Nothobranchius furzeri: one gene and its partner. The protein of the gene in region 1 purifies or fractionates together with the protein of each later gene. This does not show direct contact. Links are inferred from orthologs where the notes say so. Each region holds a gene or a part of one and is shown on either strand. Other genes may lie near its edges.

The links.
Region 2: the proteins of cdk6 (region 1) and cdkn1bb purify together in Homo sapiens (affinity purification with western blotting; 8 studies listed by BioGRID and IntAct, counting the BioPlex papers as one, with this or other methods). This does not show direct contact. The link is inferred for Nothobranchius furzeri from reciprocal best matches to the Homo sapiens genes CDK6 and CDKN1B.

What each region holds. Positions count from the first base shown.
Region 1 is NC_091751.1:27,651,547-27,659,781, reverse strand, and holds part of cdk6 (cyclin-dependent kinase 6), read right to left. Parts: intron 4,417-8,235; coding exon 4,249-4,416; intron 1-4,248. UniProt on the Homo sapiens protein: Serine/threonine-protein kinase involved in the control of the cell cycle and differentiation; promotes G1/S transition. Phosphorylates pRB/RB1 and NPM1.
Region 2 is NC_091744.1:57,770,415-57,779,025, forward strand, and holds cdkn1bb (cyclin dependent kinase inhibitor 1Bb), read left to right. Parts: upstream 1-2,982; 5' UTR 2,983-3,248; coding exon 3,249-3,675; intron 3,676-3,805; coding exon 3,806-3,921; 3' UTR 3,922-3,936; intron 3,937-4,856; 3' UTR 4,857-5,181; downstream 5,182-8,611. Other genes in the region: yars2 (tyrosine--tRNA ligase, mitochondrial), read left to right, coding at 1,608-1,767. UniProt on the Homo sapiens protein: Important regulator of cell cycle progression. Inhibits the kinase activity of CDK2 bound to cyclin A, but has little inhibitory activity on CDK2 bound to SPDYA. Involved in G1 arrest. Potent inhibitor of cyclin E- and cyclin A-CDK2 complexes.

The DNA of each region.
Region 1 (8,235 bases):
CAACCCTTACATTCAAAATTTTAATAATATATATGTAAAATGCTGAAAGCAACTAAATGTTTTACTAACAACTGCAATTATCCATACAGAAATTGAAAATCGTTTTGTTTTTACACATATTTTTCATTTTACAGAAATGTCAGCTTTATCCTTTCAAACGACAACAAATGTATTTTAAGTGTTTCCATAAATTAGTTTCTGAGATACAGTCATTTATATAAACTGTAACAAAAACAAAAACAATAATAATCAGCAGGAGTCTAATATAATAATGTTGAATATTTGTCGCAAAATTTTCAGTAGTATATAGTTTTCCTTTATCTCTCACTATTAATAATAATAATAATAATAATAATAATAATAATAATAATAAAGAATATTGCATGAATATTTATGTGAGGAAACAAAAACTGAAACTTAAACATCATCCGGTGCTGTAATGGCGTCAACCACTTCGAGGAGGGAGCATGCACCGTTTGGCGGGTCCGTGATTCATCAAAACATTCATAGTGGTGTGTGTGTGTCGGGAGTCTGTAGTGGGTGTGTGATGTGTGTAGGATGTGGTTGTCTAAACGTATTATTGCAAAAAAGCACAAGAAAAAGCCTAAAGACTGGGACTACAAAGAACTACAAAACAGTAAACTTCGTGGGAAAAGGACGTCAAAGCAGGTGATTGGGTGAGTGATAACCATGTGACAGTTCACGTAGACAACGTGATGACGTTTATTCTAGCCTGTGAAGCCCTATGAGCTGCAGATCATAGGGCTTCACAGTATCTGTGTCTGAATGAAAATGCTTTTCTTATTTGTGCATTTTGGTTTTTTTCTTGCAAACTCATTAGCGGAAATGCGCAGCGCTCAGGGACGTGTTTAGTGTGTGAGATATAAGCGTAACTCCTCCTGTTTAATATGCAAAAAATATTTTTTGTTCCATCTTATTTAGTTACAGTTCTACAAGCATTTGAACACAGATATGCAAATGGGATTGCCGGCACTTCCATCTGTCATAAAGGGTTGATTCTCCAAATGGATCATTCTGACCAGTGTCTGCTGTAGGTAAGATACTGTCTACTCTTACAGAACCTAAAACAAAGCTCCACTTTAAAAAGCAAAACAAGGCATAATTTTCTCTGTTGTAGAGAGCATATGATTGTAAAAGTTTCATGCCTCTTTATTCCAACGCTTCCTTTCAGCTCTTCTCTATGAGAATCAGCTCCTCTAAATCTGAGACCATGGTCTTGATTCGGAAAAGGGTAGAATGCCTTCTCTGGGTCAGGGATGAGGTCCTGCCCCAAGTGGAGGAGTTTAAGTATCTTAGGGTCTTGTTCACGAGTAAGGGAAAACTGGAGTATGAGATCAATAGGCGGATTGGTGCTGCATCTGCAGTGATGTCATGGTGAAGAGAGAGCTGAGTCAGAAGGCAAAGCTCTCGATTTACCAGTCGATCTACGTTCCTACCCTCACCTATGGTCATGAGCTTTGGGTAGTGACCGAAAGAACGAGATCACAGATACAAGCGGCCGAAATGAGTTTTCTCCGAAGAGTGGCTGGGCTCTCCCTTAGAGATAGGGTGAGAGGCTTGGTCATTCGGGAGGGGCTCGGAGTAGACCCGCTGCTCCTCCACATCGAGAGGAGCCATTTGAGGTGGCTCGGGCATCTGGTCAGGATGCCTCCTGGACTCCTCCCTGGTGAGGTTTTCCGGGCACGTCCAACCGGAAGGAGACCTGAAGGCGGACCCAGGACACGGTGGAGGGACTATGTGTCTCACCTGGCCAGGGAACGCCTTGGGATTCTCCCGGAGGAGCTGGCCCAAGTGGCTGGGGAGAGGGAAGTCTGGGCCTCTCGCCTTAGGCTACTGCCCCCGCGACCCGACTCTGGATAAGCGGATGAAAATGGATGGGTGGATGGATGGACATTAAAATAAAATACATAAATGTTACAGGCAGTGAAAATTTAAAATACATATAGAAATGTAATCAAATGCTTCCAATAAAAAAATATGGTGTCACGAAGTTCTGGTGAAACTAAAACTTTAAACATCTCAGTAAAGGGATGGTGTGTACTTCCCTGGCGATAGGGGGCAGTACATACCTAAATTGTTGCAAGCATGCTGTGTTTTTGAGTTGGAGTAAGACCTTACCAACAGATGCTCAGTAGGGTCAAAAATCCCCGCAAGCACAAACTCCAGCAACAAGACAAGCACATCACTGGCAATGAGTGAAGAGGTAAATGTGTAAACCAACGAATGGTGAAAGTTTTGTAGCCATTTGTTACAAACCAGTAAATGCATTTTGTCCTCATGGGCTTCTGTAGAAGGAAACATGGCATCTAATATGGTGTCGCCCAGTGACATAAACCCGCTACCATGTATTTTAGACCTTTTTTATTGTTATATTTTATGAAGCCGCCAAGTTTTCTCAACCCCTCCTCCCTGCTAGCCTGGACTGCCAGACTCATCCTCTGTTCTACACAGAGAACTATTCTGGTTACTCACAGGCAGAGAGGCACATGAGGGGTGGGACTAGCCAGCTCAAAAATAACCACTCAGAATAAGGACAGAGATGCTGACGGTACCGCGCGACGCTGTAGTTTTTTAGCTGTAGTCAAAAATGGCATCTTGCGACAGTGCAAACATCTTTCTTTAGAAGAAAGGCTTTTAGCTTCTTCTTGTTGTGGTTTTAAAGATGTGTTGAAGTAATTTAGAACAGAGGAAAAGAGCCGCAACGAACTCCCCTCCAGTTGCCACGCTTACGAAAAATTCAGCGTCGTGGTGTGAGACGTATGTTGCTCAGCGCTGATTGGCTCGGCTAGAATTCTCAGGGGGTGGGGTTATTTGAATAGGAGAGTTCCAGTAGCCAGCCCCATGCTCTGGCTAGCCAGGCTACCTCTGTGCCTCCAACATGCCTCCATCTAAAAGGCTAGGTTATCCAGAGTTATCTCTGTAGTTATACTGCTATAGGCTAAGACAGCTGGAGGACATACTTTCAGCTGTTAACTTTACTTTCTCTCTAAGTGTTTCTCTCCCCAGAAGAAGCTACAATGGAGTTCTGCTGAACTGTGATAGCCTCATGGAGGGGGCCATCGGCTAGCACACTGCTGCTAAAAACATTCTCGCTCTCCTGATTTTAACATTTTACTTTCTTTGACATGGAATGTGCTACTACTAGTTTACCTGTTGAATTAATTATAGATTCACTAAGATAGACAATAAAGTTTATTTCTTAATAAAAAGAATATCTACTAAGTAATTACAATGCAGCTTTTCACAATCAAAATATGTGACTCTTATCGAGATGATTTTTCCCATGTCGATACATTTGATAATTAAAAAATGAAAAGATGTGTGTAGGTTGGCAATGTTCATGTTCCTTTAAGAAGCTGTACCACCTTAAGTCACGTAAAAATGTGACTCAACGTAATACATGTGACAGCCCCATCTAGTGGACAACTTTTGTCTCTGCGCATACCTGTAGTTATCGTCCATTTATCGTTAGAAGTGAAATCCTCAATATATCGTGATATTGAAATTGGGCTATATCGCCCAGCCCTACAATGTAGCAAAAGAAACACTTGTTAGCATATATGTTGTGTGTATGTGTGTGTGTGTGTGTGTGTGTGTGTGTGTGTGTGTGTGTGTGTGTGTGTGTGTGCACACGCGCTCTGTCTTCTTGATCCCCAGTGAGTCGTGGTGGATGGCTGCTTACACTGAGTCAGGATCTTCTGGAGGTTTCTTCCTGTTAAAAGGGAGTTTTCCTCTCCACAGTCGCTACATGCTTGCTTAGTATGAGGATTGCTGTAAAGACTCTGACACTAGTCAGTGACTTGATGCAACCTGCTGGGTTCCTTATGTAGGAAACTTTTTACTGATTGGCTTAATGAACTGACCTGTAATGGAATGTTTACTTCGTGAAGTGCCTTGAGACGACTCTTGTCGTGATTTGAAGCATATACATAAACTGAATTGAAATTGAATTTTATAACTGGGTATTATTTCAATCAATTTCAACAACATTTCAATGGCTATTTCTAGAGATTAAAACGACACATTGTGAGCCTGCCATAGCACATCAGAATAGTTTGCAGTTGTGTTTTTTTAACGACACCACATACCTGCATATATTAGTCACAGAAATAAACAACAACCGTTAGACAGGTATATATTTAAAACATAACAATTGAAGGGCTGAAAGCTAAGTGGTCAGTGTTGGGTGTATGGCAGATGCAAAACCTCAAAGGTGTCAGGACTCACCACAGACGTAAGCGCCATCTGAAAGCTGTAGATGCGTGCCAGCCCGAAGTCGGCCAGTTTGATCTGTCCTCCGCTGGTGACCAGAATGTTTTGGGGTTTCAGGTCCCGGTGAACCACGCGGTGTGAATGCAGGAAGTCCAAACCCTGAAGAAGCTGGAACATCATATCCTGGAAGCGAATATGGAGAGATCAGAGGATTTATAGGATCATCACAAGGATGTCAGAACCAGAAGCACAACAGGAGATAAATACCAGAGGTGTGACCAAGTCACTGCTTTGCAAGTCACAAGTAAGTCCTGTTAAGTCTAGAGTCAAGTCCAAGTCAAAGATAACCAAGTCCAAGTCGAGTCCAAAGTCCTTAACTTTGAATTTTCAAGTCCTAATCAAGTCATTTGTCCGACTTCAATTTAATGACACTAGACACGTTTACATGTGCCATATTTCCCCAGTCCGATTCAAATCTTGGTTGATCGGAAATCCCAAACCTCTGTTCAAATGCACACTAACTGAAATGATCCGATCATGCTTTGAGTTTAAATGCACCAAGTATTCAATCAGCATGCGCAGAAATTTCTTTCCTGGAAAAAAAAATGTGTAAACAAACATCATGAAGAAATTAAAATGTAAAAACAGAAATAAACCATTTTTTCTGATTTGCTGATTCATTTAATCAATTTAATGTATTTATTTTTCTCATAGAAGTTATGCTTTAACTGCAGATATATACTTTACTGCGTTTCATTATTAATAATATTAAAATAAAGGAGGGTTATCCTTGTCTCTTCCTCTTGATCAGCTGGTCCGTGGGTCTGACATGACGGCTTGGCGCAGCGCTGCATGGAGCGGGGGGGTGGGGTGTCAGACTCGTTTTATTACTGAGCTCTGTTGTGGCTTATTATTAATAAAATGTGACAGTCAGCTGAAACTGCTGAGAAAAGTTGGTTTAAACTAAATAGCAGGAGATGTTCAGAAAGTCTGGAAGCCTGTGTTCATCATGTGTTAAACGAACCGCATCTCTTCTCATCTGCGTTAACGTAATTTTACACAGATAGTTGCCCAGAATATTTAACTGAGGATGTTTTTCTACCCAACATCATTCTCCTTAAACTCAAACCAGGTCTGTGTAACCGATGTTACCCTGTCTTCTTTACAGCACATCTCCATCCACCTGCGGCAGAAACAGCTGCTGCGTTCACAGAAACGGGGATCCGTGCTGCAAACCCAAAATGAATCTGTATATTTTCAGTACAGACTTGAATATGTTTACCGAATGATTTGTGCAATAATCAGATTTTTATTTTTCTTCCACAAAATGCAATTTCTGGATCAGATATTACAGAAACGGGGACGGTTTGCCATCATATTTAAAAGCCGGCATTCGTTAATTAGGCCGTCATTTTTTAAGTCAGGCAGTCCAAATGATGATGGGGAGGCTCACTAGCTGTTGCACACATGCACAGTGGGCATTATTTCAACAAACCGAATGGTGGTGTACATCAATCGGGATGATGATTGGACAAAATCACCTCTCTCAATAGGATTGAAAATTCATTCCGATCGGGACGAATCGGATCAGAACATTCCCACTGACATGTTTACATGCAGAATTTTTGATCTGATTGGGTGTTCAATCCAATTAATTGTGCGCATGTAAATGTGGCTACAGATAATAAATACATTTCAGAAATAAAGCTTCTTAAAGCTTCATTTTTTTGCTCAAACAAGCAGAAAGTGCAGCTGAAACTGATTATAAACAAAGTGCTGCTGCATTTAGCAGAACAAGATCAAACCCAGAACGATGAATGATTCATGATTTTTGTCCATGTTGTGCCAATTTTGTGCTAAAATATCAAAAATGCTCAAGTCATCAACAATTCCAACAAATGCAAGTTGATTTAAGTCACAAGTCATTGGCGTTCAAGTCCGAGTCAAGTCGTACGTCTTTATAGATTTTATCAGATCAAGTCAAAAGTCATTAAAATAACTCGAGTCTGACTCGAGTCCAAAGTCATGTGACTCGATTCCACAGCTCTGATAAATGCGTATTTGATAAAAGTTTGTAATATGGTGAATGTGAATCGGCCAAATGTTTGTAGCTATATGAAACTTTTGAAATGCATTTTATATGTTGAATGTGATTCGCTGTGACAGATGGCTTTTTCAAATCCCCACAACAATTCAGTTTTATCATTCAACTCTATGACAAAAGACATGAATGACAGGAACCTGCAGCAAGGAGCTGAGTGTCAAAGTCAGCTTAGCATAGAAGAAGTTAATGAGAGGAGGCCTGTGGCAGATGTTTGATACACACACACACACACACACACACACACACACACACACACACACACACACACACACACACACACACACACACACGAACAGGCGCCTGCTTTGTACAGCACAGATCTCTGTTACTAAGCAGATGTCTTGCTTTAGTTAATTGGCGCTTTCTTTCTGTATGTGCCCAAAGACTGACCTCCGACAACAAATTATCCATGTCATGCTGGCAAAAGTAAACTGTTGGGAGAAGGAACGAACTGTTCTGAAACCAGCTTAGACTTGTTCTTTTCAAACCGGAATATTCTCAAACAGGTCTCACACCTGCGAACAAATAAGTTACAAAGAATTTGGGGCTAGGTAGCTTGAGCAGAGTTCTCGCTTAGTCTTGATCTAATAAAGTCTGACAGAGTGTTTGATTCACACTTCTACCATAATCCACTTAGTGAGTAGGAGGTGATGAGTAGAACGAGGGTTAAAATGATGATGTCTTCTAGAAACCAGATAAGTCCCCCAACCACCGCAACCCCCCTCCAAGACCTCACAAATGACATGGACTCGGGCCCACAGCTTCATTCAGTGGCTGACCAGCTGGTGTGTGAGTCAAAGAAGTCTACGCACTCGAGCGGAAAACACCAGCAAATGGTGCTGGGTTGGCCGCTGTGCTCGGCCCCTCAGTACGGCGGAGATGATGAGCGGTGTGTGTCTCGATACACAAACAAACAGAAATGCCTCCTTACATTGTTTTAAGTGTGGTGTTAGTGTATCTACACACTCACAACCAACATGTAAAGGGTGCACCAATCGGTGTACAAACACATGCACGTGTGTGGGTGCCCTCTGACCAGGAAAAGGACACATAAACAGACTTCCCTTTCTACGTCTCCATCCAGCCGTGACCCTCAGTGAAGGGCAGCAGACAGACGGCCATAGGACGAAGGCAGGCAGTTGGTCGTTTTGTGTAGTGTGTGTGTGTGTGTGTGTGTGTGTGTGTGTGTGTGTTTTCAGGGGCCGACACAATAGTATTCCCCCACCCAAAAGTCCCTCGCTGCTTTAAATAGTCATTACACTGTGCTTCCTTTCAGCATTTCCTAGTAAACACCAATTATGTCAGAGGTGTGACTCTTGGACACCAACCCTCCACTGTTGGTCTTCTCCATAGTATCAGTTACAACAACGAACCCCATTTCAGATGTTTGCTTTTGTAACAAGACTCGGGCTGGTCAGTAAACCGAACATGTACCATTACGTGAGTAGGTTACTGATGTCCATGTCTCTTTAAGGCGCTGTGACGCAGACCAGTCGAGTCCGCGTCACAGCTAGTCACGTTAAGTCACGTGACTCCACCCCATCTAGTCTTTAACCAGGAGGGAAAAATAAGGAAATGGACATAGATTCAAATACGGAAGCGGCAGGCTGCGTGTAGCTCATGGTTTTGTGTCGGTTTCTAATCATGGGCTGTGGTTTTTCGCCATTCGTGGCTGCTCGTAGCAGCATTCTGCTCAGTGCTGCAGCGCTCCGCGGGCAGCCACGGCGAACTGCAGGCTATGGGTACAAGTGCGAGTGGTCGTAGATTTGGTGGAGGAGATGTTTGTTCCCAAAAAAGGCTTCAGTCATTTAGCTAAATGATGGATTCAGCAAGGAGGAAGTGATGAAAGCACAAGACAAAAGTCAAAGTGTGCAGAAAGACTAGCAGCAAGTCAAATT
Region 2 (8,611 bases), on another chromosome or scaffold:
CCTCGGAACTCAGAAATTCCGACTAGAAGAACATGAACACGCACTAAATTTTGGCTTCACTTTACTAAATGCGACGGGTGATTGGGTGAAGACGAAACCAGCGACAACGATCTAAGTGTGAGGCATCATCGTTTTAATCTGCTCCAGCAGCTAAATAAACTGTTTAAGATAACGTTAGCTTGATATGTTAGCTTCCTATGCCACCATTGTTATCATCTAATGGTGCGTTCGCTTTCTCCTCAGAAATTCTAACTTCCCAGTAGGAAAAATCAATTGAAAAAGAGACTGTAAAAGGAATGAAGATACACAGTAAATTTAGTTCACAGCAAAGATGTTTGCTTCAGTTTAATTATCAACTTTTAAAACTACAAGGACGATGTTAATACAAACAGTTTAATGTTATTTATCGTGATATTTATCAAATATTGTTATATATTGAGAAAAATATATATTTAATTATAAAAGAGAATTAAAAATATTAAACACTCAAAAGTATCGAATATTGGTACCGTTAAGTACCGGTATCGATTCTTAGGTACCGGGAATTAGTACCGGATCGATTCAAATGTCAAAGGTACCCATCCCTAGTCACCCGTCTTTTCACGACTTCTAGAGTGAAGTGCTCCCATACGCTTGATGTTTTTGTTTGGGTATTTTCCTCAGTTTTATAGTTTGTTATTTTTTCTGTACTTTTTGTTGCTCCGCCATCCTCGGTGTGAGCATGCACATCAGCGATGTGCGTGGTACGTCATGAAAAACAAGTGTACCTATTGGCTGATTTCTTCTTCTACTGCTCCACTGGTAGGTCAGTGGCTCACTCGCTGCAAATTTAACAGATTGTAATGGATGTGACAAATTGTGTTAAAAATAGGCCGCTTACGGTAAAATGTGATTATAAATCAATGACAAAAAATGTTGTCAACTATTTCAATAATCGATTAAATCGATTAGTTGTTTCAGCTCTAGTGCTATAGCAAATCTGTAAAACAAATTAGCTTAAAACAGTCTTTCATGCCTCTTAAATACATTCTAACGTGGTACAGCTAAAAATATATTGTGGAGATTAAAAAACAACAAAAAAAATGAATAAAGTAGTTCTCTCCCGTTTGTCTGAAAACTTCCGCCAATAACACATTGTTGTTCTCACCAAACCGCCGCACTTCTCAGTGTCCTCCATTCATTACACACTCATATTTCAGCAACAGAACAGCACTGGTGTGAGAGGTCCTCTGCTCAATTATATCAGAGGAGAAACAGTCGGCTGCTACCACTTCAACTTGAGGACAAACTACCCGAGTCCCAAAAAGAAAAACACAGTTTGAAGTCAGACAACAAAAGATGTTTGGACCTAGAAAACAGCAACTGGTTTTTAGCACGCTCTCGTTTCCTGTGGCAACACGGGATTCTGGTTCTGGTGGACGTGAACCCAGTGAAGATACCCGAGGGGAACGTTGAGTGTTCCGTGACCGTGTTTGCATTCAAAACCTTGTTCTGTAGATTTGCTATAGCAGCTTTAACTCTAGGAATTTCAAAGCAGCGGTCTTTGTTTTCCACAAGGTCATTCTCCTTTAACCCAGAGTCTTAATCATACATGTTTATGTTGGCAGGTATCGGATGGTTTCAGAGGGGGCAATCTCGATTAACCACAAACGGGCTGACCATCCAGAGCAGGTGCTGATCCCCAAAGTCCACATCCTGACTAATGGACTCACGCTGCTCAAAGTAGGAAAAAGGAATTTCTACATCATCAAGTGGCTCGGCCTCTGACACTCCCTGATTGAGAATGAAGGCACTAAACTAAACTGTAATGACTGATGACGAAGGTAGGCAGCAATACTTTGGCAGTCAGTGAGAAGATTTTGATGGACTTTTACTTTATAAGTATTTGTTTTTATGGACATATAAATATGTAAATGCATAGCTGTGATGCTTATTTAAAAGTGTGGTATTAAAGTATTTGATAAGATTGGTTTCTTGCTGATTTTGTGCTGCAATAGTTTAGTCAAGTGAACACAAGATGGCGCTATTGTTTTAATGGCTGGCTGTAGCCGGCCTCATCTGCACCACTTATCCTGCTGTGACCCTTTTAAGTAAACATTTTTTCCAGTAAAAGTACATTGCATCATTTCTCACAAAACAGTTTAAACACTGCACTTTTATTTTGGAACATGAGGCCAAAATCAGCCTTACGTCTGGTGTTTTATTTTCTGTCAGTTTGTGTAAAAAGTAACAAAAGGAGAAAAAAGGTTTTCATGCAGTCATTGACAAAAAGAAACTACCTTAAATTATTTGTATTATATATATATAATGATGTAATTCTCTCTTTTGGGAGTGCATGCTGACTTTTATGTGAAATTGTGAATTTTTTCAGCTGCGATGTAAAAACCAATGCTCGACCCACGGCAGGTTTGATTTCTGCAGGTTCTTGGCTTATTAGTTTTGTTTTACACTCCGTTGTAGTGTGTCTTTGGCATACGTGTGTTGCTTTATGATGCTGGATTTTTTTTTTAAATTTGGTAAATATTTGGTTAATACTTATATTTAGAATAAATCAACTATTAAAAACAGAGTAATGCACACTGAAGATGTTTAGAAAAATAATGGTTTTGACTCCTTTGCAAATTACCTGTAAATTTAGTATTTTTTTTAGATGTGTAACTATAAAGCTTGTGTGATGTAGTCATTTACACAAAAATACGTTTTCTATTTTTAAGAAGCATACATAAATATTTATTTTAGTAAAACGTGATGGAAAAATATGAGCCGACTTCCCCACTCATACACGCCTACTGTCACTTTAAATAAAGTAGGTGGGGCCAGGTGTCGCTTAACCAATGAGCGTCCTTTGCCGGGTTTAAATAGCTCTGTGTGTCAATCATAAGCCCCTCCCCCTCCCGTCTCAGTCCCCACCACTGCTCTGCTCCTCAATCGCCATATTGGGTGCTGAGGTTTCTCTGCAGTTTCTCTCTGAGCGGAGCGAAACTGACAGCGTCCTCAGTTCCTGTGCACTTTGTTTTGATGATTCTCGGAGACCATCTTCGACTCCAGAGCCCCGCAGCAGTTAACGTCTTCCACTTCGACGTATGCATGGCATAGGTGTAGAGCTGCGTCGGATCTTTCCCCCGTGACCTGGAGATACCGCTGTTGTTGTTTTTTATTTGTATTTTTTTTTCAGCGACGTGTTTTTCTTATGACAGCTGGACGCTCCCGGCTGACTGAAAATAGCGTGTTTATTGGGGGGAGGGGAAATGTCTAATGTTCGAGTTTCAAACGGGAGTCCGACGTTGGAGCGGACGGAGGCCCGGGTGTCGGAGCACCCGAAGCCGTCTGCCTGCAGAAGTCTGTTCGGCCCGGTGGATCACGAAGAGTTAAAGAAGGATTTTAACGAACACATGCGGGAGTTCAAAGAGGCTGCCGCTGCCAAGTGGGGCTTCGACTTCGCCAGTGACACGCCACTGAGCAACGGCAGGTTCAAATGGGAACTAGTGGATTCCGAGGAGATGCCGGACTTCTACCACCGGCAGCCGCGGAGGGAGAAGGGCGTCTGCCCCAGGAGCACCAGTGTGGATCTAAACGGGAACCATAACTGCGTCCTGGTGGCGTCGAGCGGGGATACCAGCAAGCCCGACGGTCAAACGGAGTGCACCGGGCTGAGGAAGAGACCTGCTAGTCACGGTACTACATTTGCATCTAATCAGGTTTTAGAGCCGGAGCTCGGCTTTCACCCGACAGGAAGCACATCTATAACCCTCTTCTTGTGTTTTTGCTCCGAGTTTCCCTGACAGAATTTCTTTGCTGTTCGCAGAGCCTCCGACCCAAAACAAGAGGTCCCATACCAGCCCAGACGAGGTTAGCTGTCCGAACCTGAGCCACTCAGTAGAACACACACCCAGAAAGCCCAGTCCCAAGAGACAGACGTGAGCCCGAGAGAAAACGGTGAGGCTTAAACTCATCCGTATACAATAACCGCATGTAGCTTCTGTTCCTCAGCTGTGATCTGAGCCACAGCAGGTTATATAACACGTTCTCTCCACATATTATCGAGTAGCTTTAACGGTGCTGCACGCTTATTTTATCTTCAGTAAGTAAAATGCTGGACTCTAGTAACCATTTCAACATTTTATATTCATTTAATCACAATGAGATCAACTCTGCCGAGAGAAAAAGGCTTTAACGTCTCACTGCTGCAGCTTTTCTACTAAACTGTAAACAAGGGCTGAACAACAGTGTAGTAGTAACACGTCAGCAGCCACTGCCCTCGGAGCAGAGCAGAGAAGGGGCTGGTCTCTGAACACACACACGCACGCACGCACACACACACACACGCACGCACGCTGTCCCTGCAGGCAGAGGAGTGTGCTGAGGAGACCCGCAGGTCCGAATTCAAGTAAAGGGAGGAGGGATGGGCACGATGAGATCTTCCTCACAGTGGTTTAGGACCTGTTTAGGCTGCAGATGAGAACACTTACATCAATGTTTCTTTTTAGCACAGAAATTTGAACAATAACCGGGTGTGATTCAATATGAGGATGTTTTTCTGTTCAAAAGTAAATCCTTGAAAGATTTTATTATAAAATATGATGAAAGAACTGCACTAAAAGACAAAATAGCTGTTAGTTTCATAAGTGTGTGTGTGTGTGTGTGTGTGTGTGTGTGTGTAACAGGTCAGTTTAGCTTAACCTTGTTAGTCTTTTTAAAAATAGGAAACTGATAGGGGGTGCACACTTGAAATAAACAGTCTAGTTATGAAAAATAATTAAAGTGAAACTTTTTCCATGAATTGTTAAAAGATGATTTTTCAAAAATGTTAATACTAACCTTTTTTTTTTCTTATTTTTCCCACCTTCTCCACACAGTTCGAGCATTTTTTTTTTTGCGAGGGTGTTGTTTTTTATATGCATCTTTTATTTTATTTTTTTGGAGGCCTGACTGTTTGTTGGCTTTTTGGGGATGAGGATCTGCGCAGCATCAGAAACATATCGGCTCTTCTGAGGACTGAGGAGGACGCTGTTGAAGCACTGAATAGAAACACTAAAGTTGTGGCACTCAATTAAAAATAAGTTACTGCCTCTAACAGCAGTCGATGTAGCAGTGTGCAATTAGGTTTTATTTCCCTTTTTTGCTCGTTTTGTTACTACCTGTGTGTAAATAAATTAATAAAGATGGATATATATATATATAGGTATAAATATGTCTCCATGTGTAGCACATAAGGAACTTAATTCTAAATCCAATCCTTTTTGTAAAAAGTTGTGAATTTTCATTTGACTTGAAGAATTGCAGTGATGGTTTCCAAAATGCTGTTTTTTATTTTTATTTCCAGACTGTGTGACATTTGCCACTGTCCTTAATTGCTACACTTAAAAAGAAAAAATCATGGCTTCTCACCGTTTCTGTAGTGTTCCTTCACTCCGTCAGCTTCCTAATGCAGCAGTGAAGAATGGTACAAATGTAGCTCACGTATCGTAATTTAATTTGTTTTTTCATTTATTACAGCGCCTCCCTGCAAAGGGCTGGACTCGTCTAAACGACGAGGAGATGTAAAAATTCTGTTAAGATTTTCTGATATTTATTTTTTAATCGAGGTGCTTTTAGCATCAGAGTCCTGGAATATTATGAAACAATTTTTTTGAAGTTTTTCTGTGCGCCTCAGCTACGTTTTAATGTTCGAGTGTTTCCTTTGAGCTGTGAGGTACTCGGCTTTGAAGAACAAGAATCAACGTTTTGCTTTCCTTCTGCCCCTAAACCTTAATCTTCTAAAAGGAAAAAGTCTCGTGGTTTGTTTTTTAGTTTCCAGCCTCTTATTTGACTTCACAGGGAGCTTCTTTGTGATCACATGAATGCTTGTACTCACCCCGTCATTGTCAGCCTGCTGAGGATGCACCAGAAACATGCTCATTGCAGACAGGCTGTCTGTATATTTGTGTAAAATCTTTGCAATGTACCTTTGTACATAATTTGTTAAAAACAAAACAAACATGCAAAAAAACACTGAGAAATTATACTAACTTATTTATGTTAAGCCTTTTATGTAGGATATTAAAAGTGGGTTCTTGATTACGGTTATCCAAAGTGGCATTTGCTAAAATTTTTCTATTTTGCAAAAACATTTTATTTTGTAGGATTTTTTTTTTCTTTGTCAATGAGGTTGCAAACTGAGCCTGATAAATATTGGATGTTTTTTTTTTTTTTTTGTAATGTGATAAAATTGTGTTGCAATCAATTAAAAGAGAAAATTAAATCTGACTCTTAAGTTTTGTTTTAAAAAAGTAGAAATGACTAATGTGTGTAGAGATGTGTGTTTACCTTGTGCGTCTAGGAACGTGTTGGTGCTTTTAACAGCTGTGTGAGTTTGGAGCTGCCAGCAGCACCAGTCTAAGGCCAGATGATTGACACTGGGCTCATCCAGTGAAAATGGGAGGAATAAAAACAGACCACTGGGAGCAGCCAGTAACGTTCAGCAGCTCACTGGAAAAAAGGTTCAGAGTACTAGTGCACAGAAAATATCTTTGAATTTAGAGAGATAAAACACAATGTTAGCTTTTTTTTTTAGCTACAGTAGCAGGTGTGTGTGTGTGTGAGAAACAAGGGATTTGTGTAATGCCTTCAAATTTACACATTTAAAATATGTTTTTGCAAATGCCACATTTTTATGATTATTTTAATTAAAAGATTTACGATGAGAATTTCCATTCATTTTAACATGTTTAAATGAGATTAAATGTGTTTTACATATATATATATATATATATATATTAAACTTAAAAAAAAATTTGTTACATGTCGCATTTGATGATCCTGTTTATGGAAAGTTGTAATTATTTTTACAGTTTTTTTTCCACACAGAGCAGACAAGAGTTTGACCTCTTGTGACTTTAGCCTTCCGGACTCTCGGTTTCTGTCGCATCCCTTCGGCTGTAGAAATCCAAACTGATTTAGCTGCTGCAGAATTATTCTGCTTCCTTCTTGAGCCCCAAGCAGGAAGACACCTGCAGCGTATTTTAAAGCTGGGTGTGTGGGTGGAGATTGTCCAGTTTTGAAGTGTGCAGGTGGGCAACCTCAGCTCAGCCGCTCCACCCCCACCCCAAGCCCGACCCATTGTCCCTTTGTGTTGAAGGCCTTTTAAGGGGCTGGGGCAGGCTACTGTTGTGTCTGGGCTTCTGTGCTCAAACAAAGGAGCCGTCTACAAGCTCCGCCCCCAGCCCACAAGGCCACGGATTGACTGACTGACTGTAGGTGTAGACTATTGGGGATGGAGGGAGTCGGAAGCGCTGTCGGTTTCTAAAGTACTAAAATACCCAGATTAAATCAATATTATCTAGCTTGAACGAACAGCCCCTAGTTACCCCGTGCTAATTATTTTCTAATGAGCTTTCTAATGTTTACGGAGAGGAGCCATCGTATGGGTAGGATGCCTCTCTGGTGAGGTTTTCCAGGCTCGTCCAACCAGGAGGAGACCTAAAGGAAAACCCAGGACACACTGGACTGGGACTTCTCCTCTGGCCAGGGAACACCTTAGGATTCCCCCGGAGGAGCTGGCCTTAGAGGCTGGGGAGGGAGAGGTCTGGGTCTCTGATTTTGGTGCCCCCGCAACAAAGACCACGGATAAGGAGAGGGAAATAGATGTATGGGTAGATGGATTTCTGTTTTTATTTGTGGAAGACTGCTGATATCTGAACCTGTGTAAAGGTGGACTGCCCCTCCCAGGCTGGAACAGAGTATATTGTACTCTAGTCTGTTGTGGTTAAGAACTGAGCCAAAAGGCAAAGCTCTGATTGGTCCGTTTACGTTTGAACAATCACTTATGGATCATGGCTGAGTGTGTCAGTCGAGGAGCTCAGAGTAGATTCACCACCCTCCCCCATCCAAATAAATCTGTCGAGGTAGTTCGGCTCCCCCCGTATGAACCTACAATCTACAGAGTCCAAATGTTTCTGATTTCCTGGCGAGTTTTATATTTCACAGTTCTAATAATTTTGTGAAGAATATTTCACACTTTTGCATTTAACCTTTTAATAATGTTAATCTGTCATCCTCCCAAGCTGACGCTCTTAAAACGGCTCATTTGTAGGCCAACTTATTTTTGCTTAGCTGTTTCCAGGGTGAAAGCATTCCTTCCAATGCAACTATAACATCTACGACTGGCAGCAAGCTGAAGACCGCTGTTGTCAGAGGGGTACATCTCCCTTCCTCCCCCAACTTCCAGCACCAGCGTTCCTGAGTGTGATCCTGCAGCCGCCCAAAGAAAACCCACACTAAACTCTAGGAAATTCCAGAAACACAGGCAGTCAAACACGCGGACGACACCGTCGGCTTCGCTCTTCTCCGCTACATGTCGCATGTGGCAAGAATTCGCACTTCCTCACTGTATCAACAGAAGCAGGTTATCTGTTCCTGTTAACCACTCCGGCACTTCATATAAAGCCACAAGTTCCTCCCCGTACTTCCTGCCGAGGCCGCAACCCACGTCACGGAGCCAGTCCCCTGGCACCTACGGCTGTGAATGGGGGGTGGGGGCAATGCCCACAAACAAACACCTAACATCCTTCTCTCTTACTGCCTCTGTCTTCACTCCTGTGTGAGTCTTGAGAGACTGTGAACAGACCAAAGT